6 linked regions of the Callithrix jacchus genome follow. The protein of the gene in region 2 interacts with the protein of the main gene of each other region in a pairwise test. Links are inferred from orthologs where the notes say so. Each region holds a gene or a part of one and is shown on either strand. Other genes may lie near its edges. The genes, in order: RAD23B, PNMA5, PRKAA1, ZMYND19, CCNC and CSTPP1.

Region 1 (4,415 bases), on a different chromosome or scaffold from region 2:
ACTTAGTTACATTAAGGAAGACTTTGGTTATTACCATTAAATTTCAAACATAAGCCGTATGGTAATCTAGTACTAATATATCTAGAGCTTTTCAGTCTAAAATCCATTCACAATAGTAAATGTTAATAATGCCAAATAAGAAATAAAATAAAATACAGAACTTGTGGCTTTTTCAAGGTGCCAGTACTTATCTGGTTGTTACAGGAAACCAAAAATTATACATAAAGAAAGTATGTTTTTGAGGTTACTAATGAATAAAAGAGAATTTTTAGATGTATGTTGTAATTTCCTATTCAGGAAGACAATCATTCAAATTAAAATAGTCACATCATATGGGTTTTTTGTTCTTCCTTATATAATACTAGCTTTATAGAGGAAGGTAATGAGATTTACAGACTATGTTACCTAATAAGTGCTGAAAGGAATAGGACCCCAAATCCAAAGCAAAGCTGTGGCCATCTCTTTCCACTACCATGCTGAATCTCAACAAACAGGCCTGTCCTCTGGAGACTACACAAAGCACTTAGTGACTTTTGCCATCCAGAGGTGACTATCATAATCAGAGCTAAGAAATGGATGAAAGAATGGCTTTTTCCAAAATCAACAGCTTACTTTATTAATATACACAAGAACAAATGAAGGAGAACACTACATAATTACTAAGCAGGCTCCAGGCTTTGCTCTACAGTCAGACCCATAGCAATGTGTGGGTATGGCCAGTACCCGAGTAAGGAAGACTTTGGTTATTAACATTTGACTTGAATGTTAGCTTTGCTTTCTCCTCCCAGACACAAGGTTTTAAACCTCTCAAGGTTTCATTTCCTTGGCTGTATAACTGCTAAAATCCTGCTGGCTTTGAAATCACATACACTTTGTAACATTTACGGAGAGAGTAAGAGACAAAGTGAGCAAACCCTTCTGAATGCCATTAGACATACAAACTGGAAAGCATCTCTTCCTTAGAACAAATACAACAATATGCCCTTTGACAAAATTGCAGCACTGATGTTTAATATCAGCAAGGATACCTTTTATATCCACTTGGGAGAGTTTCTTTTGGGCCTTTCTCAAACATTAGTTACACAACTGCTCTGGGAATGAACCTCATTTCTGAAGCATTTCAGATTAAATTATCTTACACTAATAATTCAGGGTCATTCCCTCTCCATCCAAAGATTCCAATTTACCTCCAGAACTTGTTGTTGTAGTCGTTGCTGTTGTAGTCGCTGCAGCTGCAGCCACTGCTGAAGACTGAGGCGCCCCAGTACTAGCTGCTTGAGGGGGGTCAACCACAGCCTGATTTTCTCTATCTCCAGGGATTCCCTAAAACAAAATTTCCAAGCTTTAAGATATCCCATCATGCAAAATTCAATATTATATAGAGTAAAAGATTTATAGTCTATTTAACATGTTATCTGATTTTCAAAAGCATCAAACAGATGCCTGCTTCAATTAAAAGTAAAGGATTATTAACCTGTATGGATTCAAATTAGATTAGAAACGACCTGGCTGCATTATAGAAAAACCCACATTGCTATAATAATGCAAAGCAGTACTGACCAACAGAACTTTCCATGATGATGGAAAAATAGTCTCTGTTGTCCAATTAGATGCCTACCAGGCACAGATAATTATTCTAGTTCGAAAACTATCTATACATGTACCTTCTTAAAACAGAACATAACCAAAGGTTTTAGTGCTACTTATTATTACTTCAGTTGACTTTTTAACTTCTTAGAAATCTTCATCAGCTGTTAGTGATGAAAAGGATTGAGTGTACAATCTTAGCTTAAGATAATCCAAACAAAGAAGTTTTGATGGGCGTCTTGACAGTTCTAAAATGACTCCTGGGGAAAAAATATTTTTCACCTCTGAAAACTAAATGGTTTCAATTTATTTTAAATCAATTTTGTGGTTTTTGAAAAATTAATTATTATTTTTTTTTTTGAGACGGAGTTTCGCTCGTTACCCAGGCTGGAGTGCAATGGCGCGATCTCAGCTCACCGCAACCTCTGCCTCCTGGGTTCAGGCAATTCTCCTGCCTCAGCCTCCTGAGTAGCTGGGATTACAGGCACGCGCCACCATGCCCAGCTAATTTTTTGTGTCTTTAGTAGAGACGGTGTTTCACCATGTTGACCAGGATGGTCTCTATCTCTTGACCTTGTGATCCACCCGCCTCGGCCTCCCAAAGTGCTGGGATTACAGGCGTGAGCCACTGCACCCGGCCGAAAAATTAATTTTTTATCAGTTACTTTCTGAGTGACACTTTCTCAAAGAAACACTTTACTCAAAAGTATCTCAAATTTATGATATACCTTCTGAGTGACAGTTTGTCAGTACCATGGATCAGTAGAGGAGATCCTCCTGCAAGTGTGTAGTATTTATCTTCTAAAGTTGTTGGAGCTTAAAACTGCATGCACTAAAATCTTTTAGGACACCCTATTTTGATGCACATGATTTGACAGACTTGTCATTTAAAATTTTTAAAAAGTCTTTATCACGTTCTTATAGATTCTGAAAAGAGGAGAACTAAGTATTAAAATTGAGTAAGATGATAAATGCTTCCATTTCCTAATAAGCCAGAAGCCAAAAGCAACAACATATAAAGGAGGAAGAGCAGGAATATGGCTGCATGCATTAGATGCCACTCCAGGCATCAAAACAAATGTTTCTGAGTGAGTTCACCAATTCAAACCCTTAACTTCAATGGGCAGTTATTTAAGTGGCAACAAACTACACATAAATTTAGGGTCCAGAGCATCCATCACATTCTGTTTAATTTATTAAACTAAAAAGTTAATCTTCATTGCTATATATCTACCTCTATTCTCACACATTACAACGCCTCTTATTAGATAAGGGATCAACATTTCTTCCTTCCATCCATTCAATTTACCTGTTAACTATTAACAGTTAAAGGCAGCTCCCCACCCCCGTCTATGAAACAAACAGCAAATATATAAAAAATATTTGTTATAAATTGTTTGATGAACTCATGTCTCATCTGTTTATTTGCATTTGATGCTATACAGCAGTTTTAGCATTTGGCAACTTTGGTGACATTGATTTCTTTATTTTATACCTCAAAACTCCATGTCCATTAGATCAAAATAACTGATACTGTTGAACTTATGCAGAATTCTAAAAATCAGATGTAAATGAAAGCCACTCCAAAAAACTAATACTTTTATACAATCTGTTTAGGCTATGTACTCCTCGCCAAATAAATTCACAACAATTATTAATTCTACACAAACTGGATAAACTGCCACCATTTAAAGACACTACTCAAGACGACAATGAAAAAGTGAATTGAAAAAGATAAAATAATATGCTAGGAAACCGTTTTGAGAACTTCACAAGCAAATGCATGGGCAATAAATGGTGGAGGCAGAGTACAGTTATGAGGCTTATATTGGACTCTTCTGAAACTAGCTAGCTACCTGAAAGGAGTTCCTAACAGAAGTATAAACTAGACACAAAGGAATGCGTTAAACTGTGGACATAATTCCCAAAAGAGTTAGACTCATGCAACTCTAAGATGATATTTGGGCAATTCAGACTTAGAAAAAATACTCCAAAACACCAAAAACAATTATAAGATAAAAATCTAAGATTTTTAAAAAGTTAATTCAGGCCGGGCACAGCAGCTCACGCCTGTAATCCCAGCACTTTGGGAGGCTGAGGTGGGCAGATCACAAGGTCAGGAGATCGAAAGTATTCTGGTTAACATGGTGAAACCCTGTCTCTACTAAAAATAAAAAAAATTAGCCGGCGTGGTGGCACGTGGTCCCAGCTACTTGGGAGGCTGAGGCAGGAGAATTGTTTAAACCCAGGAAGTGGAGGTTGCAGTGAGCTGAGATCACGCCACTGCACTCCAGCCTGGGTGACGGAGTGAGACTCCATCTTAAAAAAAAAAAAAAAAAAAAAAAAAGTTATTTCAATCACTTTAGCCTGTGTTACATCTGTAAAAATAGCAGACTTTCATCTTCATACCAAGGGTTTCAGTCAATGTCCACAATACTCTATTTCTCAAAAACTTTCATTACCAGTAAAAAAAAGATGACCTTATTCAAAAAGTCCCTCAACTCCTGACTATAAAAACAAATTCAAATGCCAATGGAACCAGGTAAGTAACATCATTCATTAAATGCATGATATTATATTGGTAACAGAGTGAATCAGAGGATAATGAATTAGAGTCCACAATCTAAAATATTTTCCTAAATCTCTTGCAAAAATCTGAAATCAAAGTTGTCCAGATAAATCAGAAATCTGTACTTCTATGTGAAATTTCCCAGTTTTTAAAAAGTTGGCAATTTATCACAGAAATATACACAGTATGAGCAAAAGAATTTGGCCTGGGCTTTCAAGCTTGAAATTTCTGCTCTGAATAATTCATGCATTGTGGTACC
Region 2 (5,048 bases):
AAATGTCTTGCTCAGTGACCTTCAATGTAAAATGTTTTCTGTTTTTAAGACATTTATTAAAACATTACCCAAGAAAGCTTGCTCTTTTTTTAATCACTAATAAAGAAACACACATATATTCTCTCACCACAGGTCCATAACTTCTGGCCCTGAAGCGTAATCATAGCCTTCAGACCATTGCTACACACAGCCTGGGCAGGGGTAGGCAGCAAGTCACCCGGCTTTCAGCAGAATCAGTCCTGCACTAGGCCTCCTCACTGAGAACTTGCATTTTTTAAAGATTGCCAGGGTATTTGTGTGCATCTTGAAGTAGGCCGTGAAATCAGGAGAATAATGGGAGAATAGAGTATTTTCAGTCATCTGGCTCTAAGTAAGCAGAAAAAAAAAATTATGGCCTTGTGAAATGCAGGCCGTAGCTGTATTTTTTACCTTCCTACCCCAGAACGCAGTCCAATAAAAAATACACAGGTGCTATGAGTTTCAGGTAGTAAGTAGGCTCACACCCCCTATTCATTATACGTGGCCTATATGCTGCACCCAGTGATGTGAACCAGGTCCTTCAGACACTGCTTGGGACACCACAGCTCCCCTCCAGTGGAAAAGAACCACAATGGCTGCTGGGACACATGGTAAATGAAGAGCCTGGGTGCCACCGTCGTCTAGCTAGTAAACTACAGGCGTGGGAGGTAGTCTGCAATGGAAGTGGCACCCAGTTGTTTTTATTGTCTGTTCTAAAAGGTGCGGGCTGGCACAGGCTCGCACGGGTGGTAGTGGGGTGGTGAGGACCCGTCGCATGGGAAGTAGGAGGGTTTGTGTCATAGGTGAGGAACTGTGAGTGGGCTGTGTGGAGTTACAGTGGGGGAGGGGGCGGTCATCACCCGATAGCCTCTTCCCGCGTCAGGTTGAAAAGGGGTGTGTGACTTTCAGGTAGTACACACGCTCACTTGGCCTATTTGTTACACATGGCTTATATGTTGTACTCGGTGATTTGCACCTGGCCCTTCACACACGGCTTGGTACGGCATAGCTCCCCTCCCACGGGAAAGAAACAGAATGACTGCTGGGTGACGTGGCAAGTGGGGAGAATAGCTGCCGCCATCGTCCAGTCAGTAAACTATAGACTTCCGAGCTAGTATGCAATGGAAGTAGTTCCCAACTGTTTGTATTGTATTTCCTCAAAGGTGAAGGTTGGCGCAGGCCGGCACAGTCTGGCAAGGGTTGGGGTGGGGTAAGGAATTCTTGATAGGGAAGTAGGAAGGTTTATGTGGCCACTGCACAAATGTGAAAGAGCCGTGTGAAGTTTTGCTAGGGTGGGGGTCATCACCCAAAAACCTCTTCCCGCCACAGCCTTTAACAGGATCTGTGATGTTGAGGTAGTACGTGTAGTCATGTGGCCTATTGGGTACATGTGGCGTGTATGAAGAGACTGGTGCTACCGTTGTCCAGCCAGTAAAGTACAGGCATCTAGTCTGTAATGGAAATGGCTGCCAGCTGTTTGTATTGTATGTTCTCAAAAGTGCGGGCTCGAACTGGTGGGGTGGGGGTGAGGAGTTGCTTGGCGCGGGAAATAGAATGCTTTATGTCACTAGTGCGCAACTGTGAGTGGGCCGTGTGCACTTCCGCTGGGCGGGGAGGCGTTACCAGACAACCTCTTCCTGTCATAGCCTGGAGGCGCATTCGGCACAGAGGCGGCAGCCGCCTTAGACGTGTGGTGGTCGCGCTGCGCGATCACTCCAGCTTACAGGCCTTTCTGACAGGTACGGAGCTGGGCCTGGTCATACAAAGCAACCTAGATTAGGGGGTATATCGCCAATAACTTGCTATTTTCCACAGGGCCTAGGAGTTGCTATCCATAGTTTTCCAGGCAGAACTTCTGGGAGACCTTAGGCTGGGCAGGCCGAGACGGGTGTATCACTTTAGGTGAGGAGGTATAGCCTACCCAAGATGGTGAAACTCCGTCTCTACTAAAAATACCAAAATTAGCCGGGCATAGTGTTGGGGACCTGTAATTCCATTTATTCAGGACAGTGACGCAGGAGAATAGGTTGAACCCTGGAGGCGGAGGTTATGCTGAGCCGAAATCATGCCTGCTGCACTCCAGCGTGGACAGCAAAGGGAGACTATTCGTCTCAAAAAGAAACAAATTAAAAAATACTTTCTGGAGGCCTGTTCCACCCTCAACTCTTGACCCTTGTCCGTGCAGAAGAGCGGCTTCGGATCTTCTCTCCTAGATCCTGCCGCCTTCCACTGGTGCTGGTAGTTGGTTTATGTAGATAACAGGGTAGAGATGGAGGGAAACGGGAACGGACGTACTGGATTTCGGTACAGGGGGTTAGACTTGTATGGCGTAAGTAGTTGGGCTTCGTGAGTGGTCACTCATTGCGGTACGGATTTGACTCTGGGTGCGGGCAGGATTGAGTTACGACTTAGACATGGGTGGGGGCAGGGTTGAGGCACGAGTTCGACTGTGGGTGCCTGCAGGATTGAGGTAGGAGTTAGACATTGGGGCACGGATGATGCACGACTTTGACTGCGTGTGGGGGCAGGGTTGAGGTAGGAGTTAGACATGGGTGGGGGGAGGGTTGAGGCACGAGTTCGACTGTGCGTGGGGGCAGGGCTGAGAAAGGAGTTAGACATGTGTGGGGGAGGTTTGATGCACGAGTTCGACTGCCAGTGGGGGCAGAGTTGAGGCACGAGTTAGACGTCGGTGGGGGCAGGGTTGAGGCACGAGTTCGACTGTGGTTGGGGGCAGGGTTGAGGTAGGAGTTAGACATGTGTGGGGGAGGTTTGATGCACGAGTTCGACTGCGAGTGGGGGCAGGCTGGAGGCACGAGTTGTACGTCGGTGGGGGCAGGGTTGAGGCACGAGTTCCACTGTGGGTGGGGGCAGGGTTGAGGTAGGAGTTAGACATGGGTGGGGGGAGGGTTGAGGCACGAGTTCAACTGTGAGTGGGGGCAGGGTTGAGGTAACAGACGTGGGTGGGGGCAGGGTTGAAGCACGAGTTAGACGTGGGTGGGGAAATGGGTTGGATTTCGTGCTGGTTGGGATTGCGGTAGAGGTGGATCTTAGGTGTACGCACGTGGACCTTGGCAACGTGTGGTGGTTATGGTGAGGTAGCTAAGCGATGCAACATGGCTGCAATGCCGTAGCTTCCGATCAACATGGCTGCAGGGGCGGAGCTTCGGACAACATGGCTGCAGGGGCGGAGCTTTGGAGCGAGTAGAGTTTGCAGTGGGGGTGGGACAACAACCTTATCCTACGATCCCTTCTGTCCTATCAGCAGCCCCCACCAGCCCCCACCCTCCACCTCCCTCACCATTCCTTCCCATACTCCCTCTTTCCGCACCCCTCCCCCTTCCTCCCTCCTCCTCCCTCTGCCAGTTGAGCAGTTTCTTCTGTGGCTGCGCCAGAGTACTACTGGACACCTTTGCAGAATCACAACTGCCGTGGCCTGAGCAGAGACGTGTGTGTGGGACACAATCACAACAAAATACCTCTGCTTTGCCTTGGACAGATCCAGAGAAGCAAGACCCGTCACTGCTAACTCAGTAGCTGCCTAACTGGACAGAGCTGAAGAGCGCAGCAAGTGTGAAGTGGCTGTTATTGCAGCTTCCACGCTGCTAGCAGAGCCAGCCCAGCAAGGTGAGCAGCTGTGAGGTGGGCTCTGGTGGGAGGGACTCTGGAACCTTGGCAAAGAGTGAGGAGACAGGACTCACTGCAGGGTTCGCAAACTCTGCAGGATAGGGCCATCGCTAGGGCAAGAGTTGTTCGTTTCCTGCAGTCTGGCAGTAGGGACCTTATCTGCGTCCCTTTTCTGCCCGATTTCACCTTCCACACAATTTAAACCATGAACTCCTGTCCTTCTTTGAGCACTCACTCCTCATGCCTACCTCCCCTTTCCTCACCTACCCTCCTTGTTGCTAGGATGCTGTATTGGATGAAGACCGATGACATCACCTGTTGCTTCTCAAGGGCCTTAGCCTCACCACATGACACTACCATACAATAGCAACCCATGGTCCATGGTATGCTCTGTATCCATGGCAACACTGCAGTTTCTCACACAATCTCCACACCCACCACTCATTTCATTGCGCAGAGCTCCGGCCATCTTTCTCCTCTGTCAGGCATTTCCTGAGAAACACGGCCACTCCACCTCTCCTGCAGCCAGCCTTCACTTCCATTCCAGCAAGGAGGGTGCCAGGTGACCTGAGCCCACATAGCCCTGAGTGAGCAGTGGGGCAGTCTCCTGACTTTTGCCTGGAGGGCTTGTCAGTGTCCTCAGGTGTCAGGCCCTGCCTCCTGACGTTGGCCTTTTCACTACAGGCACCTGCAGCACACCCGGCTGAGTCCTCTGGACATCGAGGAGGAACCCACAGCAGGAGGAGGTCAGCAGGGAGTGTGGTGAGGTGGGGGGATCTTTGCCTGGGGAGACCCACCACACTCTGTTCTCCACACAATGACTTGAGCCTTGGGTAGCAGGGACTCCATCCCTGCTGGGGGTGGGGGCAGAGGGAGGGGCACTTGGGAGTATACGTTGGGGTGGGCATTAGCAATGCTCTTATCCCATTTGCTTTGCAGGCTGTGGAAACCTGTGACACTCCTGCCTTCCTACGTGGCAGTGGCTCAGAATCCTTTGAGTGCTGTCAAACCGAGCTGATTGTCGGTCCTTAGAAAGTGGGAGTAATGGCGGCAACACTGCTAGAGGATTGGTGCAAGGGGATGGACATGGATCCCAGAAAGGCCCTGCTGATCGTGGGCATCCCCGTGGACTGTAGTGAGGCGGAAATTACAGACACTGTGAAGGCAGGCTTGCAGCCCCTGTGCGCGTACAGGGTGGTGGGGAGAATGTTCAGGAGGGAAGACAATGCTAAGGCAGTCTTCATTGAATTGGCTGACACTGTCGATTATACTACTCTGCCTAGTGAGATACCGGGAAGGGGGGGCTCCTGGGAGGTGGTGGTAAAGCCCCGTAACCCAGATGACGAGTTTCTCAGTAGACTGAACTACTTCCTGAAAGATGAGGGCCGGAGAATGATAGATGTGGC
Region 3 (4,415 bases), on a different chromosome or scaffold from region 2:
ATAATCAGCTATAAAGAACTTTGGGGGATAACTTCAGACATTTAAATATGGCTTGATTAGATGATATTGGAGAATTATTAATTTCACAGTAGTATTATGGTATTTTTAGGAGAATATCATTATCTTTAGGAGATGCTTGAAGTATTTTCATGGTGATAAGTATGTCTGTAACATCCAAATGGTTCGGGGGACATATATACATACACACATACATATATGCATATATATGCATAACTAGTTGTATCTTTATACATATGTAGGTATAGAGAATAAAATAACAAAACATTAACAACTGCTGAATCTTAACGGTAGACATACATGTGCGCTTACCCTACAGTTTTTCAATTTTTCTGTTTTTAAAAATGTTCATAATAAATTTGGGGGGGGGGGGAGTCATAGCCAAGCACTTAAAGATTTTAAGAGATAGTCTTGCTATGCACTGAATCAATTTCAAAGATACATAATCAAATAACTAGCAATGTTAGCATATACCCAATACTGACTGACATGATGAGCCAGAGGAATTTAAGAAACTGGCAAAACTAATTTATTTATTTACAGTATGTGCAACTCAGCTCTTGTAACAAAAAGAACATTTTGTGTACAGAATACAGTGGGAAAATTTTAAGATTAAAATTAGTGCTACAGTATCTGAATATATAAATTCTGTTTCTGGACTTGTAAAGCTAAAATAAAATTTAAATTAGGTTTGATATCTGATAATGACTTAGCATACACTAGGAATTTTAAAAGGGGATATGGAGGCTGGGTGCAGTGGCTTGCACCTATAATCCCAGCACTTTGGGCGGCTGAATGGGTAGATCACAAGGCCAGGAGTTTGAGATCAGCCTGGCCAACACAGTAAAACACCCTCTCTACCAAAAATACAAAAAATTAGCCAGGTGTGGTGGCACACGCCTGTAGTCCCAGCTACTCAGGAGGCTGAGGCGGGAGAATCACTTGAATCCAGGAGGTGGAGGTTGCAGTGAGCCGAGACCATGCCATTGCACTCCAGCCTGGGTGACAAGAGTGAGACTCCATCTCAAAAAAAAAGGAGGGGGAATATGGAAGAAGTTATCCAGATTGTTACTAATGCTGGAAGATACCAGCTATTTAAGTAGTTAAAGAGCCCAGAAAACAAAATCACCTATAAAGGTCTCTGAGAATTCTAGGCAAATATTTATTGAATAAATTTATGAAGCAAATATATAACATGTAATAATATATGAAGGCTTTATGTAAATTAATAATTTCAAAGCCCTGTGTACACTAAATATAAAATAGCCAAAAATCAAGTGAGCCTGAGAGACGTATATATTATCCTATATACATACTGCACAATGAACAACAAAATGATCTTAATTGATTTCTGCATATTAGGCTTTTAACTATTAATCATTTTCCAATCCCTGTGCAAATTGCATTCCAAACGCCAGTCCTCAGTTATAATTATGTATAACTTGATTACAAATGGAATCATTTGGCTACAACTTATTACGCATGCTTATTGCTACCAAAGAAATAAGCAAAGTTTTAGGTTTATTGTGCAAGAATTTTAATTAGATTTGCACACATCTCAAAAAATTCTATTGTATGACTTCCAGGTCTCGGAGTTAGGTCAACAGGAGAAGAGTCAAGTGAGGTCACAGATGAGGTAAGAGAAACTTCTGAGGATTTTCCTTGAGCCTCAGCATCTGAATCACTCCTTTGGCAAGATCGATAGTTGCTAACTGATCCCGATCTCTGTGGAGTAGCAGTCCCTGATTTGGCTTCTGTAATTTCATCTGGGTAAAAAGAATTTCAATTTATTATACTCTATGACCTTACGCCCAAAATTTTTGTAACAATATTGAATTTGCTTCGTTAAGTGGGGCTACTGGCCAGCTATCAAGAGTATGTTTATTAGGCCGGGCACGGTGGCTCACACCTGTAATCCCAGCACTTTGGGAAGCCGAGGCAGGTGGATCATGAGGTCAAGAGATTGAGACTATCCTGGTCAACATGGTGAAACCCCGTCTCTACTAAAAATACAAAAAATTAGCTGGGCATGGTGATGCATGCCTGTAATCTCAGCTACTCAGGAGGCTGAGGCAGGAGAACTGCCTGAACCCAGGAGGCGGAGGTTGAGGTGAGCCGAGATCGCACCATTGCACTCCAGCCTGGGTAACAAGAGCGAAACTCCGTCTCAAAAAAAAAAAAAAAAAAGTATGTTTTTTCTAAATACCTTCTAAAATAGAGGCAATGAGCCTGTATTACACCATTCACCTTTTTTACATACAGTATGTATTCTCAAGATGGCTAATCAAGGTAGGGCACAGTATAGTTACTCATCAGTTGCAATCCAAGGTTAAGAAACTCAACAAACTAACAATCTAAGGATTCATAAATATTATTCTATCGCAAAAAAAAAATCCTTCTATATTAAAATCATAGAATCAATGCACTTAAAATTTAGAAGGTATACTGGAAACCATCTCATCCAACCCCTCACTTTATTAATAAGAAAACCCAGAGAAGTGATTTACCTAAGGTAACAAATGAACAAAAAGGTTAGTCTAGAACTCAACTCTCCTCTCAGCTCAGTGCTTTTTACTTTCCACTTTCCCTTCATATTTCATTTAGCATTTCATAAAAAAGCAACAAATCCAATGAATAAAAATCAAAGAAAAACTAAGGTTGAGAACACAATGCAAAAACAAAAATGAAAAACTAAAGTTGGAAACACAATACAAAAACAAAAATGGTATTCAATTGGTATACTGAAGGACTAGTAAATCTAAGGTTGCAAATTTGATCCACATATGAGAAAAATAAAACCCATTCCATATTTCAGACTGTATTAGTATACGTTAGCAGATCCATACTATAAGAGACATAAAGATAACCAGACAAACCGGTTTGGCCAACATATCATGGCTCAAATCTGTGTCTTTCTGCTACTATGTGTTTACAATCTTTGAATTTATAAAGAAGAAAAAAATTCATAGGTGAACCTTATCTAATAATTCTATGTAACCTTCCATAAGCAAAGGTGATACTGTATTTTTTAAAAATTTTGTAGAGACAGAGTCTTACTGTGTTGCTAAGGCTGGTCTCAAATTCCTGGAGTCAAGCGATCCTCCCACCTCGGCCTCTCAAAGTGCTGGACTGTATAGGCATGAGCCACCACACCTACGCTCAACACCGTATCTCAATGCAATTGAAATGGCCAGTGCTGAAAACTTACTTAATAATAAAAACTCATGGGAAAGTCAGTATTTATTTCTAAATAAAACATTTTCTCTTTCCAAAATGAACCACACCAAAAAAACAAATGCAGCAGAAAACTATCACCTTACGAACAGACTGCACCTAGCTTTAAGGATTTTACAAGATGATAATCTTAAAAGGACAGCATTCTATTAAGATTACAAAAATAATAAGACTCATAAATGTTAATACTGCAAAGGCACAAGAAGTCACATTTTCTATTCCTTTGCAACTGAATTACTAGGAACAAGTCAAGAAGCTTCAAAAGAATCAAAGAATAAAATACCAAGTTAGTAACAAGGTCTAATGTACATTGTTTGTGTGATGTACATACCATCAATACTACGGAAATCCAGTAGGTAAGTTCTACTGTCCACTTGGTATAACTGTAGACTCATTTTGGAGTAAGTGCTTGTCACAGGATTCTTCCTTCGTACACGCAAATAATAGGGGTTTACAACCTAGCACATGGTATAACAAAATCAAAGTCAAAAGTAGTTCTTCTATAAAATATTTTATAGAATACGGGTTTGCCAAATATGCTAATAATCAAAATGTTACTTCTTTCTTACCTTCCATTCATAATCCAATTGTTTAATTGCTCTACAGACTTCTGCCATAATATCATTTGGTCGACTTTGACTTCTAATTCCTAAATGCCATTTTGCTTTCCTTACACCTTGGTGTTTGGATTTCTGTGGATTTAATTCATCAAGGGTATGGCGTGCCCTTGGCGTTTCAGCAACCAAGAATGGTACTCTTTCAGGATGGGGACGAGTCAGGTGGTGATCATCAAGAAAAGAATCAGGTGGGCTTGTCGCCAAATAGAAATCTTTGGCTTCATTCATTATTCTCCTGTTATCTATTATGAGATGGTAAGCAACTGCCAAAGGGTCCTGGTGATTTCTGTTATAAAGACAGCTGAGAACTTCCTCTTCTGAGCATTCAAACTTTTCACATACTTCTTTTAAGGCTTCATCATCAATCATGGTTGAACTATATGATGGATCCTCAGGAAAGAGATATTTTGGAAGGTCCTGTTTAAACCATTCATGTTCCCTGAGAGAGAATGGCAAGATCAGGAGAAGAATTCTGAATAGAGCAGAGACTAAGAGTAATAGTTTGAGGAATTTAGATTATGAATTAATATATATTTATACCCATAC
Region 4 (4,920 bases), on a different chromosome or scaffold from region 2:
TCTGTGGCCCAAACAGGACAGGGACACAGAGAGGACCTGGCCCCTGGACTTAGGAGCAGAGTTAAGGCTGGAACCCAAAACCACCTGAGCAGACGGACTCAAGACAGCTCCCATCTGAGTGGCCCCTACCATGCACACTGGGGGGCTCAGTGAAGACCCAGCAAGGGGAGCAACCCCACTCTCCCTCCAGAAGCCACCGGTCCTGGGCAAGCGCCCAGCAGAAAGTCCACTTGGTGTCTGAAGTGCAATATACAAATCATTCGTTCCTCTAGGTTAGTGACAAAGGACACAAAAATAAATGCGAAATTCAGGGAAGGCAAGGCAGGGCCTCGGCGGGGCAGGGGGCTCCAGGCACCCTGTGCCATCAGAGCTCACCCAGGAGCCCTGTGGCAGGGGGCAGAGGCAGCTTTGAAACACCCACCACAGCAGCTCATGAAGGAGTCTCCCAGAGCCCCTTCCTCGGTTCTTGTCAAAGGCATAGGCAAATATCTTAGCGCCATTTCCGTCAGCATCTACTTCCATTCGGGCCTGAGAAGGAACAAGGAAAAGAGCTATTAAAAAGGCTCCAATTCTCAGCAACACCTCAAATCCCTCTTAGAAAACCCACGTGAAACAGGCAAGCCTGAGGGACAAATGCCAGCCCTGTCCCTGAGACCCTGGGGAGTGTGGCGCTTCCCACAGGCACATGGCCCCAGGCCCAGTGTGTCCCCCCACCATGCTTCTATTCAATACATTTTCCTACCCTTAAAAAAAGCCCACAGTGCAGTAAGATGGAGATACCCCTTGACAAGTCACGACTGCGAATGTGTGGGGCGCAGAGATAAAGCGTGGTGAGGGAGGCCGAGCTCAGTGGCAGGAACGGAAGCTGGGAAGAGGCAGGAAGACCCCATGAGAGCAGAGAACGGGAGGCAGCTGGGCAACCTGGAGGGGCTGCTAGGGCAGGCCAAGCATAGGTGGCCAGCTGTAAGGAGCAGGGTCATCCAAGCTAACAGACACGGCCCACGTGACAGGATTACAAACGTGAGAACACACTATTTGCTTTCAAGAAGGGCTGGCAGACAGGGTGAAAGTGAGGGAAGGCCGTGTCATCAGGCTGCAAGGGCTCTGGTGGCAGCGACAGCCAGGGTCTGCAGGCCCACCGCTGGATGTGGCAGCTGAGGGCTCAGGGCTCACAGGTTGGCACCAGATATCCACTTGTGGGGCCGCCTGCTCTTGCAGCACAGGGGACAGAGCTCCTCATGACTCTCCTGAGCACTGACCACAAGCATCAGGGGAGGGAACAGCCATCCTCACTCACCTCAAAGGAGTAGCTCTCCACCAGCGGGATGTCCTGCTCATCGATCAGCGTGTATTTGGTCTGGAAAGTAACCACGTTTCAAACCATTACATTTGGGATCCTGAAGTGCAGCAGCCTTATAACCCATAACAGGCAGGAGCCTGCTGCATTTTCTTGTGAAGTAGGAAGTAACCACAGGCCTCTTCAGAGGAAGGCAGCTCAGCACGTGGGGGTCTCATTCTGCAGTTTGGGGTCGTGCAGCCTGTGCAAAAACGCAGGCAGACCGGTGACAAGCCAGCTGCCCACTTTAGTCTGTGCCAGAGGAGCCGGTATCAGGCCCCATCCTCGCAGGCCTAACCCAACAGTGGCACCCAACATTTAACGCACCGATACACTTAGGCAGAGGCGAACTCACTGGGCTGAGGGAGGGGCCTGGACGGAGGCAGAAAAGCCAGGTTTTGATTAGGGTGTGTTTATTAAGCTGAAGTACTCACTGAATTCCCCTTTTTAGCTTTCTGTCCACCCAAAATGTTCCAAAGAAAAGCTATAAGGGATAACAATGCCATCAGTGGCAGAGTTGGAAGGGGTCTCGGGTCTTCGACCTGACTGGGGAGCCCACCCTTCCCCGGTGGGAAAGCCTCCTCCACAGTAGGCCCTACCTATGCTCTTGGAGCAGGGGCAGGAAACAGAAACAGCTCCAGGAACCGACCAGTCTCTCTCTCGACGTTTTTTTTTTTTCTGGGATCTGAACCTGTTTGACCTGACGCCGCCTGCCACTGCCTCCACTCCTCTCTCCCACCAGAAAAGCTGCAGCCACTGGTGATGGGAACAGGGCTCCTATCCAGGCAAGAACCTGGCTGGTGCAGCTGCACAGGTGGCTCCAGAAACCGCCAAGCCTCAGTGCCTACAGGTGGCATGGAAGCCCCGGCCCCAATCGTGAAACGTGAGGACCGGTACGGAGAAGTAGGGGAAGGCCCTGAGTCTGCAGCATCAGGACCCAGGCTCCTGCCTCTCTGCTCTAAGCCTGAGGCTCAGCCTACCTTGGCCAAGGCCTGGCAGCGTTAAAACGAGCCCGAAGCCCTGCTGCGAACTGGGAGGCACGGAAGAGCCCACACCAGACCCGCCTCGGCGAGAGGTGTGGAGGTGGCGCTGCCTCGAAAGGGCGCTGTGTTTAAACCGTGTGGCCGCTCCAGCAGCCCGGACACCGCACTAGGCCCCGGCTCGCCGGCACCACGGGGAGGGCTCCGGATGAACACCGGCCGGGCTCAAGTCAGGCATCTCCGCACCTGGCTCGAGACAGGGCCGTGGCTTCCACCTGCGGCAGGGCAGGGCCGAGGGCGGCCAGGTGCGCCCCGGAGCCGAGGTGCGTGCCCACCGGCCTTGCGGGAGGAAGCTGCACCCGCGCGGGGCCGGCAGTCGGGCCCGCGCAGCGCCCCCCACCCCGCCGGGGCTCATCCCGGGCTCCGCGCCCCCGCCCCGGCCGCCGCCCGCACAACCGCCCCCGGCTCCGCGCGGAGGCCAGGACGGGCAAGATGGGCCGGGCCGGGCCGCGCACTCCGCGCCGCTCACCTTTCCGGCCACCCGGCCGAGCCGCACGATGCCCAATTTGAAGTCGGTCATGGCCGGGCCTGCGCTCTTGGCCGGCAGCGCCGCTCCCTCGGGAGGCGCCGGGCGGGGGCCGGGCGAGGCCGCGGCGCGCCGGGGCAGGACAGGACCGCAGCCGGGGTCGGGGTCGCAGCCAGGCGGGCCCCGGGCGGGACGAGGCTGGGCCGGGCTCGGGCCGCCGCCGCCGCCGCCGCCGCCGCCTCGCGCCCGCCGGACCTGCCACGCGCCGTCGCCGCTACCGCCGCCGCCACCGCGCGCACCACCGCGAGCGGAGCGGAGGGGCGGGGCGCGGCCCGGGACACACCCCCCGGCCCGCCGCCGCTCTACCAATCGGGAGGCGCGCACGGCGCCGGTCGGCGCGCGCCGCTCTGTAACAACCAATGGGAGGAGGGAGAGGGCGCCGGCGCGCTGAGGAGCGAGGCGAGCGCGGGGGAGGGGCGAGGCCGGGGGCGGTGCCTGCGCGCGCCGACGTCAGTTTCGCGGGAAGCTTTGTGCGGGTGGCGGCGCCGCGCCCGGAGGGGCCATGCGCGCCGCGGCCCGGGACTCGCGCCGGGCCCGTGGAGCTCTGCGAGCCGGCCGCCCTTCGCCTCCCTCGCCGTCGCCCCCGTATGCTGTTTCCCGCCACCGTCCTGGCCCCGACTGCGGAAGGAGGAGGCGGACGGAGCGCGTGCGGGGCCCGCTGAGCGGGAGGGGAGCGGGCGAGGCGGGCCAGGAAGAGGCTGCTGCCTCGGGACGCGGGAGTGCCTGGAGATACCGCGGACCCCTGGCCCACGCGACCCGGAGGGCGGCTGGCCGCCGGAGCAGCCTGGTCTAAGGCGTCAGGAAACGGAACTCCAGAGGCCGTGGTGGTCCCAGACTCCAGTGAGGCCCGTTAGGCTCCGGGGAAAGCCGAGACCCGCTCAGGGAGGCCGGGAGCGCAGTGGTGGGCAGCGTGGCCTGCCCTGCAGCCTGGAGCGAACGGGGCCGGATGCTGCGTCCTGCTCCGCGGTGTCCAGTCGCCGCCGGCAGCCCTCACCCTGCTTCAGGGGCGACTCCGGCACCTGAGGAGCTGCACAGGCCTCTTTCTGGCTTGCTGGCTTCTGTCTTCTAACCCCCCGACTTTTTTTTTTTTTCTTTTGAAACAGAATCTTGCTCTGTCACCCAGGCTGGAGGGCAGTGGCACAATCTCCGCTCAATGCAACCTCTGCCTCCCGAGTTCAAGAGATTCTCCTGCTTCAGCTTCTCAAGTAGCTGGGATTCCAGGCATGCACCACCACGTCTGGCTAATTTTTGTATTTTTAGTAGAGACAGGGTTTTGCAGTGTTGGTCAGGCTGGTCTTGAACTCCCGACCTCAGCTGATCCTCCGGCCTCGGCCTCCCAAAGTGCTGGTATTACAGGCGTGAGCCACCATGCCCAGCCTGCAAAAGGTTTTCATGAATCAGCCCAGACGTTCCACCTCTAGGTCCCCTGGTACTTGCCAGTACCCCCAGGCACCCTAGAGAAGAGAAGGGGCTGCCTGAGACACACATCCGGGTTCAGGCGAAGCCTAGCTCAAAACATACCTGTCCTACTTTATAGAGTTCCCAGGGTGTGATGAGGTTATGAGCAACTGCTTTGTGAAAAGACGTGGGGCCACACAGACGAGCTTGATGAGTCCTCCCTAGGGTAGTTGAAAAGCACTGGTGTCCCCAAGCCCAGTAGTTCATACCTATAATCTCAGAAGTCGGGAGTTTGAGACCAGCCTGACCAACATGGAAAAACCCCATCTCTACTAAAAATACAAAAATTAGCCAGGTGTGGTGGAGTGCGCCTGTAATCTCAGCTACTTGGGAGGCTGAAGCAGGAGAATCACTTGAACCCGGGAGGCAGAGGTTGCTGTGAGCCAAGATCGAGCCACGGCACTTCAGCCTGGGTGACAGAGAGAGGCTCTGTCTCAAAAAAAATGAATAAATAAAAAAGTAGCTGCCGTGGTGGCGCATGCCTGTAATCCCAGCTACTCCGGGGAGACATCCCAGGAGAATCGCTTGAACCTGGGAGACAAGTTCGCAGTGAACCAAGA
Region 5 (4,415 bases), on a different chromosome or scaffold from region 2:
GTAATCCTCCTGTAGCTACTCAGGAGGCTGAGGCAGGAGAATTGCTTGAACCAAGGGAGCGGAGGTTGCAGTGAGCCGAGATCACACCACTGTACTGCAGCCTGGGAGACAGAGTGAGATTCCGTCTCAAAAAAAAAAAAAAAAAAAAAAAAAAATCAATAGAAGGGAAAGGAAAAGAAAAGAAATTAACAAGTGCCCAATATATAGCAGGCATTATTTGGTGCTCTACAAACTATCTCATTTAATTCTTCAAATGACTCTATGGCATTAATATCCTCTCCATTTTACAATTAAGGACCCAAACACAGAAAGGTCAGATAATTTTCCCACAATTGTAAAGGAAGTAAAGTTTAAGCCTAGAACTATCTGACTCCACCCATTACAGCACTGCCTTCCACAGACAGTAGAATGAATGTAGCTGATGTAGCTGACTTCTGTCTCTAGCCAGGCATTATGGACCACAAATGCTCCTTTACTCAACCTCTGAGTACTTGTTTGGGTTCAGGAGGTGAAAGGCCCAATTATTTTACACGCTACAACTAATACTGGCTTAATTCTGAACTTTTCCCTGTAAACAAACAAATACATTCTTTTCAGACACTGATTAAAACTACTTTGAATGGTTTCAAAAAAAAAAAAAAAAAACCAAAAAACTTAACCAAAGAAAAGGGAGTGGGGGAACAATAATCCTGATTTGTGTCAGTTGCAGTTCATATTATTGAAAGTTCACATGCAAGGATTAGTCTATTACTTCATGGAAGATAAAAACATAAAGTACAATAGGGTGAAATTTAGTTTAGGATGACCTAAATAGGTTTATAACAATTTAACTAATAAAGGCCCACCATGCTTACATACCTAAAGCTATCATGAAAGGAGGATACAGTAGGCAAAGATCCGTTCTGTAGGTATCATTCACTATCCTCCTATAGAAATGTAAATCATATTATTACTGAAAGCAGATCTACCTCATCTGTACATTTCCTCCAGAGAGGGCCAGATTTCCCATCTTTGTACACATTTATTTCCTTTTATATTACTGAAGCACAGCTATAAAAGTGAAAACATCAAGGCAAAAGGATAGATACATGAATGTGACAACAAATACACATATCAACGAATAAAATTACAGCTAAATATACTTTAAATTTCAAAATTTCATAACAAATTACAAACACATTTTTCTAATTTTTTAAAAATCAGAAAATCAAATTAAAAAACCAGAAGTTAAACAGTAAATGTATATGTACGTTACATACTACCAAAAAGTATTCTGATTACTTTAAAGATAGCTTCAGTCTTAATTTTTATGTTACCAGTCTGTTTCATATAAAATTAAATTTTAATAAGTATATTTATAGAACAGATAATTTAGGATGGTTTTCATTTTGTTATTTACTCCACTACAGTTATTAAAATTAAAAAAGTGGTATTTTGCTCAACACAAAATATCTTGGGGCAATAGTTTAATGACTTTAAAAATACTGAACTTCATATTTAGTTGTCAACCTTCCTATCTAGCAACATGTTACACTATTAATAACTTCTGTTCTAATTACCATGCAAGGGGAAGCAACATGTCTTCTTGGCCCATGTCCTGCACATACTGGAGCAAAGGTCTATAAGGATGATACACTATCAAGCAACAATCCTAGAAACAGTTTAAAAAATGTGTATGTATAAAAAACAGATTTATTACAACACAAAAATGATATCATTACCCAACTCATTTGTAATTGTATTATTTCAAAGTGAATTTCATTAACTCATGCTTGCTTCCCTTTTATTTGCTTAAGCAAGCAGTATGACAGCCCTAAACTCTACTATAATAGTGAAGGCAGTGCTCTCTCTGGAATATACCTTGATAAATCGGTTGGCAGTCAGTCAGCATCCATTCATTCCCTTAGAGACTCAAAGTGTCACATCTGCAACACACTGAAACCTCTTATTAGCCTATAAATCCATAATTCCCAACTGGAGGAGCAGAATTCTGCCAAAGACATAATCTATCTTTAAATAACACTGCACGCACACACAAATTGTGCACATAATTTACAGTGGTTTAATGTCCTGACTTGTCTGTTTGTAATACTTTTATTACAGTTACTTAATATAGAATAGAAAAGTTTTCCCATCCTAAGTAGGATATATAAAGTATTTTACAGGCTTCAGAGAGAATACAGACGCTAATATAAATAGGCTACCATGATTTCACTATCACATATCAGGTGGATGGCTTTAAAATGTATCTCCCTAATATCATTTCTTTAAATAATTTCCAACTTCATTAAATTTGAAAATGTTTTAATCTATTAATCACAGAAGATATACTTACCATTAGTTCTAACAGATAGAATTCACATTCTAATATCTGTTTAAAGAAAAGACTATCAATGAAATGTCAACTTGAAACCAAATTAGATAAGTCTACTTAATCTAATATAAATTATAGACATTATAGTAATTTATCAAAAATTTTTACTAAAAAGTTTTAAAAATCCAGACAATAAATGCAATTTACATGAAAATCAATATATGCAATAAAAATTACTTTTTACTATTACACATCAAATTATGATTATAGAAATTTTAATCCTTTTAAGGAAAAGCCAGCTTCTCACAAGCATTCTTATTACTCACTTTTATTTAAAATATCCTGTAAAAACATCAGATTTTCCAGTATACTTTCTACTACGCAAATGCAAAATACAATTATTTCTACTTAAAACAATGTAGCTTAAAGAGAATAAACAAATCCCTTGCAAAGTGGAAAAAGAAGGACATGCCTATTAAAATGTCTATAGAAATTCCCCTTATATTTCATACTGTTCCATTAAAGTAGTTTTTAATCCCAGCTGAATAGTATTATCACCTGGGTGCTTTTACATAGTACCAATATTGGGAGCACCAAGCCTCAAAGTTCTAATTTAGTTGTTCTGGAAAATCCAACATAAATATTATATACAAGCTCCCAAGGTGATTTAATGAGCAGACAGGGTTGATAATCACTACTATGAAGTATTTTTTTTAATGGTAAAAGCTATTTAGCTTTAATTTAGAATAATGTCTGTATTCATGTAATATCTGAAACTGCTATTTCTAGGAAACTATTAAATTTAGTCTAATATAAAATAGAGCTAGTTTATATAAAGCTTTGATAAGTGTTTTATTTTTATACTTACATGATTCATCCTATAAGGAAATTCCTTTGGAAAGGCATATGAAAATCTAGTTTTTACTGCAGAAAATAAAAAAACAATTTAAACTGAAAAAATGGGAAATGAATTAACTCAAAATTCTTTTAACAGAGCAGAATATTAGAGAGTTGAGCAAGATTATTTTCAGTAGGAATTCTTGGCAATACTTAGGGACCCAGATTTTTGATTTCAGGGAAGGGGAAAGACTGGGTGGTAGGACATCCAAGACAGCTTTAATTTTATATTTACTACTTTAAGAAAGGGTTCTGATGTTTAAAAAAGAAAAAGATCAGAAAAAAAAATCACTTTTATCATTTCTAAAATCTTTTCAACTACAGAATGGTATTCTCCTGTTTTCCAGTGACTGAGCTTAGAAGGAACGCAGGGGTTATGTATGTGTTTACAATATATACAATTGATCAAAAATATACATATAAAATATTGGGAGGATAGTACACCATTTTCTAAACTTTTTACAATGACCAGGTATTTATTAAAATATATATTTTAATAAAAGCATTAATATATGTGCAAAGGTCTCTAGAGTTTTCTTTAATGCCACACACACATAAAGTTACTACTCTATTATCTATTACTTTATTAGTCACTAAATAAAGTACAAGTGAAAAAACAATGTTAACCATCCATCCCCCATCTCCTTAAAATGGTGTGAGCATATAGATATAAGTACTATTTGAGAAAATTGTATTCATGCCATTATAATACACTTAATTCAACAAAGTAACTATTGACAGGTTCTAAAAGATCTGTTTGGTGTCAGCTTCCATTTGTACAAAACCCAATTGATCTCACTGAGATTAAAAGAAATTCCATCTCTGGCCGGGTATGGTGCCTCTTGCCTATAATTAGCACTTTGAGACACCAAGGCAGGTGGATCACCTGAAGTTAGAAGTTTGAGACCAGCCTGGCCAACATGGTGAAACCCCATCTCTAGTAAAAATATAAAAATTAGCAGGGCATAGTGGCACAAGTCTGTAGCACGCCTACTCGGGAGGCTGAGGCAGGAGAATTGCTTGAACCCGGGAGGTGGAGGTTGCAGTGAGCTGATGTTGTGCCACTGCACTCCAGCTTGGGTGTCAGAGTGAGACTCTATCAGAAAAAAATAAAAAAGAATTCCATTTCTTCTATGCACTCTATTTTCTTTTATTTTTTTTGAGATGGAGTCTTGTTCTGTTGCCAGGCTGGAGTGCAGTGTCT
Region 6 (4,875 bases), on a different chromosome or scaffold from region 2:
AACAACTTGTTTACCAATGCAGGACTGGTTATATATATTATTGAAATACTATATAGCTAAAAATGAATTTTATAAAGAATGAAGAAGCTACCTACTGACTGAGAAATTACTTCAAGGCCAGGCTGTAATCCCAGCACTGTGGGAAGCCAAGGTGGGAGGCTTGAGCTCAGGAAGTTCAAGAGCAGCTTGGACAACATGGAGAAACCCCATCTCCACCAAAAATAAAAAACTTAACTAGGTGTGGTGGCTTGTGCCTGCAGTTCCAGCTACTTGAGAGGCTGAAGTGGGAGACGGCTTGAACCTGGGAAGTGGAGGTTGTAGTATGCCGAGATGGTGCCACTGTACTCTAGCCTGGGCAACAGAGTGAGACTCCTTCATCTTAGGAAAAAAAAAGAAAAGAAATTGCTTTGAAATGTATTAAATGAAAAAGGTGTATGCTGCATGCTCCTTTATGTATATAATAATCTCTGGAAAGACACACAGGAAAACAATAGTGGTTACTTTTAGGGGGCTGAGGATGGATGGCAACTGGGCAGATGGAGGCAAAGGGGTAGGAGACTTTTCACTATAAACATCTATCTATCCATCCATCCATCCATCCATCCATCCATCCATCTTAGAGACAGGGTCTCACTCTGTCACCCAGGCTGGTCTTGAACTCCTGGCCTCAAGCTATCCTCCTACTTTAGCCTCCCAAAGTATTGGGATTACAGGCAGGAGTCACCATGCCAGGCCTAAAAAATATTTTGAATCAAGTTTCCATATTACCCACCTTAAAAAATATTTTTAAATTCATTTTTAAAATAAGTTTAAAAAAAAAATTTAAACCAGAATTGTTTTTCATTTAAAAAGATGTAAGCCAGGTGCAGTGACTCACACCTGTAATCCCAGCACTTTGGAAGGCCACAATAGGAGGCTTCCTTGAGCTCTGGAGTTCGAGACCAGCCTGGACAACATAGTGAGACTCTGTCTCTACAAAAAATAAAAAAATTAACCAGGATGGTGGCATGTGCCTGCAGTCCCAGCTACTTGGGAGGCTGAGGTAGGAGGATCACTTGAGTCCAGAGGTTGAGGCTGCAGTGAGCTGTGACTGTGCCACTGCACTCCAGCCTCAGTGACAGTGCAAGACACTGTCTCAAAAAAAAAGAAGAAAAAAAAGATGTGCATAGTACATTCCAGACAATGGAGTATTATTCAGCAACAAAAAGAAAGAAACTATCATGCCACAGAAAGACATGAAGGAAACTTAAATGCTTACTGCTAAGTTAAAGAAGCCCATCTGAAAAAATTTACACACTATGTATGACTCCAACTACATGGTATTCTGGAAAAGGCAAAACTTTAGAGACAATAAGATCAGTGGTTGTCAAGGACTGCAGGGGAGGGAGAAGGATCAATAGGTGGAGCACAGAGGTTTTTTTAGCGCAGTGAAACTATTCTGTATGACAATGGAATGGTGAATACATGATGTTATGCATTTGTCAAAAGACACAGAACTGAAAAACATAAAGAATTAACCCTAATGTAAACTATGGACTTTAGTTATTTTATCCAGTGTAACAAATGTACTGCAGTAATATAATGAGAACACATGGACACAGGGAGGGGAGCATCACACACTGGGGTCTGTTGGGGGGAAATAGGCAAGGGACAGTGTGGGGTGGGGAGCTGGGGAGAGATAGCATGGGGAGAAATGCCAGATATAGGTGAAGGGGAGGAAGGCAATCAATCACGCTGCCATGTGTGTACCTATGCAACAATCTTGCATGTTCTCCACATGTACCCCAAAACCTAAAATGCAATAAAAAATATAAATAAATTTAAAAATCCCAAAACACACACACAAAAATAAATAAATAAAATAATAATAAGGGAATCTGGCCAGGCATACTGGCTCACACCTGTAATCCTAGCAATTTGGGAGGCTGAGGCAGGTGGATCACAAGGTCAAGAGATCAAGACCATCCTGGCCAACATAGTGAAACCCCGCCTCTACTAAAAATACAAAAAACTAGCTGGGCGTGGTGGCACTTACCTGCAGTCCCAGCTACTCGGGAGACTGAAGCAGGAGGACTGCTTAAGGCAGAGGTTTCAGTGAGCAGAGATTGCGCCACTGCACTCCTGCCTGGTGACAGAATGTGGCTGTTTCAAATAATAATAATAATAATAATAATAATAGAGGAAACTGTGAATGAGGGAGGCCCAAGGTGTATGGGAACTCACTGTACTATCTAGTCAATTTTCTGTAAACTTAAAACTTCCCTTAAAAAAAAAGTCTATGAATTATTTAAAATGTGTATTGTGTGCATTTATGTGTGTGTGCATATCTATGTGGGCGTATGCCTTTTTCATTCATTAAATTCCTTATACACTAAAGATGCTCAACAAAGTACTACACATACAGTCTCAGCTCAAGAGCTAAGTCAAGGTCTCAAGTTCTGGAGTGGGCAAATCCAGTTCTGATCCTAGTGCTACCATTTTCTAGCTGTGTGGCCTAACCTATGCCAAGATACCTCTTCAGCCCCAGTTTCTCCACCTGCAAAACTGGAAGAAAACACAGTAATTTCTCCTAGGGCTGTTGAGAAGTTCAAATAAAGAATAATGCATGTAAAATGCTTAGCACAGTGCCTAATGAAAAAGAAAAGCTGGAAATGTTTGCTGCCGCTGTAACGGTAAGACAGTTATTGAGGAATGACTGATTTGGCACTTGAATTTCCAAGGTTATTCTTACTCCACTACCAGCATATCAGTAATACCCCAACAGAGCCCCAAATCCTTAACTCCAACCTGACCCAAGTTGAACACAATCCACATTGCCTGAGTTCCAGCCCCTACACTTCAAACATTCTTTACTCCCCAGGTGCTTTTTTCCTCCCGGCTCGGCCTTAGGGGCTCAGGCCCTGGAACCCCCGCCTCTCCGCCCCTCCCCATTCCACCCGGACCCGATCCCACACAAACCCCGCCCCCGCCCCCGCCTCCTCCCAGACCCCGGCCTAATTCGTCTGCACATCTTTTTTTTCCCCAAAGTTGAAGGGGGCACCTACCCAGATACTCATAGTCCGGCAGGGCTAGGCGCTCGGGACTCAGCATCCTTTGACCCGGGTAGCTTCAAAGCTCCAGCTCTCCGGCTTCCGGAACTCAGGTTGCCTTCTCTCTCCGTTACCATGGCACCCACGCGGTGGGAGGGGGCGGGACCCGGAGGAGGTGTCACACAAACAGTCTCCGTGTAGCAAAGTGGAGCTGGCCACTCAAGTTCCGAGGGCAGTCGCTTCACGACGGTCCAGGTTTCTTTGGACTCCCATTCTTGAAGACTTGGTTTTAGAGGAATCGGAGATGCAGAATTCTTTTGAATCCGTTGTTTCCCGATGTCGAAGAATTACTGTCTGCCGCCCATACACGGAGTTACTGAATTTCATAACTATCCCTGCTTTTATACAGTTATCCTAACTCATTAATAGCCCCCACCCTTTGGCCCTCATAAACACTTAGTAACCCGTTACCTATTTCTAGCTCTTTGATATTTACTATCTTAAATTGCTGCAAAGTGCTTACGTATGCATATACCCTAGCTGCTTCTAGAGGTCAGGAGTGTGTCTTTTATGCCTATGACTGCTGGATACACAAAAGGTACTCATTAAGTCCTCTGAGATCATTGCCATTTCTTCTCCGTTCTGGCTCTGTCGCCCAGGCTGGAGTGCAGCGGCTTGATCTCGGCTCGTGGCAACCTCTGCCTCCAGGGTTTAAGTGATTCTCCTGCCTCAGCCTCCCGAGTAGCTGGGAGCACAGGCACCCGCCACTACACCCGACTAATTTTTTGTATTTTTAGTAGAGACGGGGTTCCGCGATGTGGGCCAGGCTGGTCTCGAATTCCTGACCTCAGGTGATCTGCCTGCCTCGGCCTCCCAAGCTGCTGGGATTATAGGCGTAAGCCACCGTGCCCGGCCTCAATTCCTTTTTATCTTTGGTTCTTCTATTTTATGTTTATTTTTTTGAGAGGGAGCCTCACTCTGTCACCAAGGCTGGAGTGCAGTGGAGCGATCTCAGCTCACTGCAACCTCTGCCTCCCGGGTGCAAGCAATTCTCCTGCCTCAGCCTCCCAAGTAGCTGAGACTACAGGCGCATGCCACCACGCCCGACTTTTTAGTAGAGACGGTTTCCCCGTGTCATCCAGGATGGTCTGGATCTCCTGACCTTGTGAACCACCCGCTTCGGCCTCCTGAAGTGCTGGGATGACAGGCGTGAGCCACTGCACCCGGCCTCTTCTTTCTATTCCTACCCCTTACTATTTGGTACCCTTCCCAAGTGTCTTTCCTTTTTCTTACCAAGACATTTCACTTGAGTGGGAGGGGCTGCAGAAACAAGGATACAAATTAGATTTTTTCCCCCCATATGCCCAATTGCTCACTTCTCCTTTAAGGGAATAGTCAATGGTTTTCAAGTTCCCAAATATTTCTTTTTGCCCCTCTCCGTTCCTGACAACAGGTAAGAGATCTGTAGCACTTGACACAGTTCAGACCTAGCAGAAAAAGCCACTGTGTCCTCACTTTTTTAGTTCCCTCCCCCTCCAACAAGGTGAGGTTTGTGAAAAAGAGACAAAGAAAACAAAATCAAGCTATCAAAGGAATGACTGGGAAACCAGTAGACCACCTACACTGGGAGGAAAAGGAAAGAGGAGGTTCTTCCCTTTGTGTCCTGAGTGGCCTATTCTTAGCCTCCTCCAGCAAGGAGCCTCAAACCTCCTAATTCTTGCTTTCCCTTAAAATTGTATATGTGTCTCAATTCTAGGCTCCTGTGAGTCACTCTAAGTTTGGATGTGGTGAGGATAAAAGGACAGAGCCAAACTAGGAGCAGAGCTTAGTGTCTTGAGCAATGAAT

Evidence for each region.
Region 1: the proteins of PNMA5 (region 2) and RAD23B interact in binary tests that used the Homo sapiens proteins (3 or more experiments, as listed by UniProt). The two-hybrid records come from large-scale screens. The link is inferred for Callithrix jacchus from reciprocal best matches to the Homo sapiens genes PNMA5 and RAD23B.
Region 3: the proteins of PNMA5 (region 2) and PRKAA1 interact in binary tests that used the Homo sapiens proteins (3 or more experiments, as listed by UniProt). The two-hybrid records come from large-scale screens. The link is inferred for Callithrix jacchus from reciprocal best matches to the Homo sapiens genes PNMA5 and PRKAA1.
Region 4: the proteins of PNMA5 (region 2) and ZMYND19 interact in binary tests that used the Homo sapiens proteins (3 or more experiments, as listed by UniProt). The two-hybrid records come from large-scale screens. The link is inferred for Callithrix jacchus from reciprocal best matches to the Homo sapiens genes PNMA5 and ZMYND19.
Region 5: the proteins of PNMA5 (region 2) and CCNC interact in binary tests that used the Homo sapiens proteins (3 or more experiments, as listed by UniProt). The two-hybrid records come from large-scale screens. The link is inferred for Callithrix jacchus from reciprocal best matches to the Homo sapiens genes PNMA5 and CCNC.
Region 6: the proteins of PNMA5 (region 2) and CSTPP1 interact in binary tests that used the Homo sapiens proteins (3 or more experiments, as listed by UniProt). The two-hybrid records come from large-scale screens. The link is inferred for Callithrix jacchus from reciprocal best matches to the Homo sapiens genes PNMA5 and CSTPP1.

What each region holds. Positions count from the first base shown.
Region 1 is NC_133502.1:155,688,190-155,692,604, reverse strand, and holds part of RAD23B (UV excision repair protein RAD23 homolog B), read right to left. Parts: intron 1,324-4,415; coding exon 1,188-1,323; intron 1-1,187. UniProt on the Homo sapiens protein: Multiubiquitin chain receptor involved in modulation of proteasomal degradation. Binds to polyubiquitin chains.
Region 2 is NC_133524.1:149,110,590-149,115,637, reverse strand, and holds the start of PNMA5 (paraneoplastic antigen-like protein 5), read left to right. Parts: upstream 1-1,673; 5' UTR 1,674-1,757; intron 1,758-3,514; 5' UTR 3,515-3,642; intron 3,643-4,085; exon of another isoform or gene 4,086-4,229; intron 4,230-4,326; 5' UTR 4,327-4,388; intron 4,389-4,581; 5' UTR 4,582-4,686; coding exon 4,687-5,048.
Region 3 is NC_133503.1:164,812,590-164,817,004, reverse strand, and holds part of PRKAA1 (5'-AMP-activated protein kinase catalytic subunit alpha-1), read right to left. Parts: intron 4,309-4,415; coding exon 3,822-4,308; intron 3,711-3,821; coding exon 3,584-3,710; intron 1,785-3,583; coding exon 1,540-1,784; 3' UTR 1-1,539. UniProt on the Homo sapiens protein: Catalytic subunit of AMP-activated protein kinase (AMPK), an energy sensor protein kinase that plays a key role in regulating cellular energy metabolism.
Region 4 is NC_133502.1:185,938,739-185,943,658, forward strand, and holds the start of ZMYND19 (zinc finger MYND domain-containing protein 19), read right to left. Parts: upstream 3,157-4,920; 5' UTR 2,897-3,156; coding exon 2,846-2,896; intron 2,680-2,845; exon of another isoform or gene 2,317-2,679; intron 1,358-2,316; coding exon 1,298-1,357; intron 866-1,297; coding exon 743-865; intron 529-742; coding exon 422-528; intron 1-421. UniProt on the Homo sapiens protein: May be involved as a regulatory molecule in GPR24/MCH-R1 signaling.
Region 5 is NC_133505.1:105,583,118-105,587,532, forward strand, and holds part of CCNC (cyclin-C), read right to left. Parts: intron 3,239-4,415; coding exon 3,183-3,238; intron 2,372-3,182; coding exon 2,336-2,371; intron 1,652-2,335; coding exon 1,560-1,651; intron 927-1,559; coding exon 859-926; intron 1-858. UniProt on the Homo sapiens protein: Component of the Mediator complex, a coactivator involved in regulated gene transcription of nearly all RNA polymerase II-dependent genes.
Region 6 is NC_133511.1:111,993,514-111,998,388, reverse strand, and holds the start of CSTPP1 (centriolar satellite-associated tubulin polyglutamylase complex regulator 1), read right to left. Parts: upstream 3,176-4,875; 5' UTR 3,091-3,175; coding exon 3,045-3,090; intron 1-3,044. UniProt on the Homo sapiens protein: Regulator of the tubulin polyglutamylase complex (TPGC) that controls cytoskeletal organization, nuclear shape, and cilium disassembly by balancing microtubule and actin assembly.